2 linked regions of the Daphnia pulex genome follow. The main gene of each other region encodes a partner of the protein of the gene in region 2 in a complex. Links are inferred from orthologs where the notes say so. Each region holds a gene or a part of one and is shown on either strand. Other genes may lie near its edges.

Region 1 (3,065 bases), on a different chromosome or scaffold from region 2:
CACTTGCAAAATGTACACACAGTTTCATTAAATGTGTGTCATTTAAGTATAGTTGCAATTCGCATACTTGCATTCCTATAGCAACAAAATATTAGCCAATAACGTAAAATTATATAACAATCAAATGTTTGCGGTAGAAAGCGTTATCACGTAGTTAGTAACAAAACCAGTCAGACAGTCTCAATTAAAACAGAGGAGAGAATTCCCAATTAGGGAGCAATTAAAACGACAGGGGAACATGTTCACTTTCTGACGTTCTTTTATAATTTTGGTTGTTGCCCTTATACTCGCCACTTGGCAAAGCTATCAGTACATTTTTTTTCGGTCTTCAATTATCGTACAGCGGCGAGACCTGATCAGAATATTCAAATTTATTTTAACGTAACATAAATTATTCACATTTTTTTTTTCATCCACGAAATCTATTTAGAATAGTTGCTCATTTTCCGTTGCGATGTTAGCGGTGTAACACGACGCCAGACTATTCATCTTCATAATGGGTTCATCTTTCATTTGATCCTGCATCATTTGAACCCGATGAACCTAAGCAGTCAAAAATCAGGTCCATTATATAGTCATAAATGTTTCTTTAATTTTTGGCTCATTGTGAAAACCTATTTGCATAATAATAGTATAAAATATTTCATAAAAACTTGCACAATGAAGGTCACCGTGTCGAAAACAGACCACCTTTCAAAGCAAAATGAATACCAATATAAAAATAATTCGGAAATCGGTGCTTTCTTTTAAGAGTTAACTTTCAAGTGAGTCTTGTATTTATAATGTAGGGCCTATCGAAAACAAATGTATTACAAAATGTTACATTTTGATACATTACTTCAGTACCCAGCATTGAAGTTAACTAAAATTTGGACGGAATAACAATATTCGAATAAATGGAATGTCGATTTTTATGCTTCACAATCCCCAACGGGGATGGGTTTGCTCATCATCTAGACGGATCACCTAGAGAACATTGGAAAGGCAAGACGGAGCGTTAAATCCGTTATGATTGCAAGCAACAGATCTTAGATTGGAAAGACTACTCCATTGCTTGCCATCATCAAACACCTGTAAAATACCCCCAAAATTAATAATCAGTTGGAAATATTATTAAAGTTAATAGTAATTTTCACCTTATCATAAACAACCCACGGGACAAAAGTGAGAGTAGGTTGCAGAGTTAAAGTTTCCGTTCCATGCGCCACAGCCAATTCTTGGCCCTCGCTAGTCTTCGTGCAGGTGTCAATCGGTGTAAAGTCCAAACCGGCTAATTCGGCGCACTATATGAAATGGAAATATTTATAAAATTTCTTCAATTTTCATTCGGAGAATCCCGTACTAACCTGAGCTCCAGAAGTTGGTGCTCTCATCAGACACGATGCGTAGTTCAGCGCCTTATTATTGAAATAGAATTTAGTTTCCCAAGCTTTTATGAAACCCACATGTACATTTCGAAAGAGATACCTGAGTGTTGTCTTTACTGTATTTGATACCGCAGGCGTGCAGGATATTTCCAGTGCACTCAGCCGAACCGTGTTGACACTTGAAGGACCATCCACCCGATGAGTTTTGGGAAAACTACAAACAATTGTCAAGTTCATTGTATAAACAGGCAATTTCTGATTGCAACAAAGAAATAATAATAACGGGACATAGGACATACGCTTGCTTTGCCAAAAGGGATCAGCCTGAGGTTGACGAAAGAGGAGAGACTTTTCCATTGCGGCGCCAACTGATTGACCAAGAAGGCCCGGCTGTCGGGACACAAGGACTCGTAGTAGACGTCCAGATTCGTTCGTCCACTATTTCCGAGCTATTAAATCATCAAAACATTATGAAGGCACAGTCACGACTCACGAGTAAGAAATTAAAATCCAAACTGTCAACTAGATAAATTGAGCTATGCGAGGATGGAATGGCAGAGAAAATCATTTTTAAAGTTTCAGCTGTGTGACAAAACAAAAAGAATAAAACCCAACAAATATTTGAGGTTCAGCCGGAATGCGACGTGCGAGATTGATGAAATTCTTCGAGCAAAATAGTTGCCTACTATACAATTTCTATCACTTCCCTGAAATTCTGGCGTCAAGGTAGTTTTCAATACCTCCGCATGATTTCCAGCGGGGATGGCGCAGTCTATTGACCTTGGGTCCATGAGCCTTGCCTCTCCCCGGAGCTTTTTTTTCTTTTTTTAATTATTTCTTTCCTCTTATGTTTTTCTTAGGTGTTGTTTTGTTTTTACAATTTTAAGGTTAAACGAGAAAAAGGGGCGTGCCAACTTGCAAGGAAAATATTACACAATTTTTTTACAACACTTAAAATAACAAATCTTATAAATTAAGAAAAACAAGAAAATTATTAAACAATGTTTTACTTTAAATATATGAGCCAATTAAAATTAAAAATCTGAAATTAATTGACAATAATTAATTGTTATGCAAAATGATTACCCCAGCAGTGTTGACAAAGCTGACGCACAGCAAGGCAGAGGCTAACAAAAACTTGAACATTTTGGCAACTCACAAGGTGAAGTCTACAAGAAAGTTGAATTCAAGCACCGTCTGCAAGCACGTCCACTCTCTCCCGGAACTTGCTGAGCAATGTCTGCATATTCGAGCGAGCCGAACGACCAAGGCTATACATGTTATCCACTCCTCGATTCCTATTCTTTTCGCCTCTCACTGATCAAACAGGTGTGCTGAAGTGAGAGTCGAGCTGGACGCCAGCTGTGAATGTTTTCACGCGTGCATTGTAAACGAAACAACGGATCTTTTTTTTTTCAAATAATACAAAATTGTCCCAACAAAAAAGACTATTCTTCGTTGAAGTTGGCGCCAATAAACTGAAACTAGAACAAATCCATTACGATATTCTGGACAAAATCGAGGTCGCCAATTTACAGCTAAAATGTGCTGTGCTCTATTTCCTGGTTGAAACGCCCGTTGGTATCAGAATTTTCAAGGCGTGGCACTTGAGCGCCAAAAAAGTGCTACCCAATTGAACTAAAATACCAAAATGGCCATTCTGATCTTATTTCATTGAAGGCAGACTTACAGAATAAG
Region 2 (2,349 bases):
ACACCGACGTCTGGTGCCCCCAAGGGCTCAGATATCGACGTCTGTCTACCGGGATTATTATAAATCAAATGTTGCTCTATTTTTTAATGTAAAAATTGGATTTTCTAAACTAAAATGAAAAAATTTACGGTTTTATTAATTTTTAAGATGGTCTGTTGGTATTATAGTCCCGTAATTTGACGTCTGTCTTGCGGGATTATTGATCAACATAATGTTAACTTGCTTTCTAGGGAAAATTTGGGCTTGCTAAACAAAGTTGATTTTTTTACGGTTCCCGCCGACTTCGGGATCGCGTCACGCTTGAACGCCCCGGCCGCCAGTCGACAGACTTGGCTTTTCGTGTGTGTCATACCCCCCCTAACCATATTTTAGCTTCAAACCTTTTGCTAAAGAAAAAACATTTTTTGGTCGCCCAGCTCCCAGACTATTACGCTTGAAAAATCTGTAAAACAATTTAAAAAAAAAATTTCTTTTCCATTCCGACAGGCGATTTATTTCTTTGAAATACAAATTCGATCAAAATGACAAAAATGTGTATTCTTTTTGAAAAGTAAATTTCGCGTCGTAACAATTATTTTTTTGGCTTCAGAGACTGGGGTATAGCTAACTTGACTCGCCCAGGGAAATTACGTCCAACATCTTGATCTTTCAAGCTCTTAATAAGATCCCTTTCCCTGTTGGTCGCAGTTTTATCCGATAAGAAAACCGACATTGCCGTCTTGGATGCCTTTCCTCTTTTAGTTTGTCCTGGTAGGATTTTTACCTTATATCTTTGAAGGGCAAACAGATATTGTTAGAAAATAAAAAATTATAATGGTAATTCTTCTGCTATCAATACTTGTAGGGCATCAAAGTAGAATACGGTGCTACAACCGGGATGACATAAAGTAATTCATCTTCAAGTTGAGGAATTCCTGTCATTGCGTTCAAAATATCAGTGTCTGTGATAACGGGCTGATCAACATCCTCATCTATGCCGTCTCCTTCAGCATTTTCCTCCTTAAGTAATAATTAATTGAATTCCATTGTTATGCTTTATAAAAGTAATATTAGTAGTACGATCTGTTCTGTTGCCAACTGCCGATCCGTTGCTGGCTGTTGAGTGGCTGGCGTCTCATCACTTTTTACTGGAACTGCCTCTGTCTCTACGAGGATTTCTTCTTTTTTCAATCCTGGGACGGTTGTCTTTGAGAAGACAACTTTCTTCGTTTCAGTATTCTTTCCTTTTTTCTTGTTCTTGTTCTTTCCTTTGTCTCTAGCGGGACCAGCGGACTAACATTTTTTAAATACATAAGAAAGATTTCTTTTTGAAAAAAAAAAGTTAATTATAGAAATACCTGTAAAAGCTCCATCTTGAGTTGTCTTTCATCTTCATCCTGATCCTTGTACTTTTCTTTTATTTTCTTCATTTTTCCTTTTTGTCCCCGCTTCGAAGTCGGTTGTTGATTTTTCTCACCTTCCGTTTCTTGAGTAATCGACTCTGTCATTTTCTTAGACGACTGGTTTGACTTGATTGGTTCCTCTTTTACTTCTACTTTTTTGCCATCTCTTTGAGTTTTGTTTATGGTCAGTACATCTCCAATTATGGTGTACGATTCATCTTCGTTCAGAGCTTTAATTTTGTTACGGTTTCCTGATGATGTGCTCATATCTACAACAGTATCGGGGAAGGCCACTTCTGCGTTGTCGGTAACACGAGATAAGCTAAGCAAAGCACGGGCATTTTCTATCGCTGTAACATAAAATTAAGTCACATTCACAAATATATATGAATTTTTCTAATTTTTTTACATTTAGCATAATCATTTTTTTCATCTCCATCACTTTCAGAGTCACTTGAACACGAAACAGGCTCATCCACGGTTTCGGTGTCCAAAATAGGTGATTCATCATCCAGTGCTTTAGGCTTCCGATCATTCAAGTGCCTTTTAACGAATTTAAAATAAGAAAAGTTCATAACGCAAGAACAATTTTAGTTGCTTGTTACCTTGCAATACTGCTTTCTTCCAACCGAAAAAGAAGTCCGAATCCAAGAACGATAGGTAAAGGAGGGAGAAAATTTTTCTTTCCTCTAATCATGAAAGATCCTGTTGTTAAATATTCTCCTGATGGAGCAGTCTTGCTGACTTGCGAACTCTCAACCCACCAAGCTGTAGTCATTACTTTGGCTTCCCATGCAGCACTTGAATAATGCATTGAGAAATGTAGAATTAGAACAATTGGGTGTAAAAATCATTTAAGCTATTCGACGACAGACTTCGAATAATTGACTACCTGTAGCCAACTGCCATCAATCCGGCTTCTTGCAATGTGCGCGGTGGAATGCGATTAGATGCTGAAACGTTTTTA

Evidence for each region.
Region 1: nuclear export mediator factor NEMF-like (region 2) and transcription factor 25-like share a complex: the UniProt entries of both Homo sapiens proteins name them as parts of the ribosome quality control complex. The link is inferred for Daphnia pulex from reciprocal best matches to the Homo sapiens genes NEMF and TCF25.

Annotation. Positions count from the first base shown.
Region 1 is NC_060022.1:854,577-857,641, forward strand, and holds the end of transcription factor 25-like, read right to left. Parts: intron 1,284-3,065; coding exon 1,137-1,283; intron 1,072-1,136; coding exon 967-1,071; 3' UTR 786-966; downstream 1-785. UniProt on the Homo sapiens protein: Component of the ribosome quality control complex (RQC), a ribosome-associated complex that mediates ubiquitination and extraction of incompletely synthesized nascent chains for proteasomal degradation.
Region 2 is NC_060026.1:6,925,778-6,928,126, reverse strand, and holds the end of nuclear export mediator factor NEMF-like, read right to left. Parts: coding exon 2,275-2,349; intron 2,183-2,274; coding exon 1,988-2,182; intron 1,926-1,987; coding exon 1,792-1,925; intron 1,733-1,791; coding exon 1,338-1,732; intron 1,273-1,337; coding exon 1,056-1,272; intron 1,002-1,055; coding exon 839-1,001; intron 771-838; coding exon 572-770; 3' UTR 517-571; downstream 1-516. UniProt on the Homo sapiens protein: Key component of the ribosome quality control complex (RQC), a ribosome-associated complex that mediates the extraction of incompletely synthesized nascent chains from stalled ribosomes as well as their ubiquitin-mediated proteasomal degradation.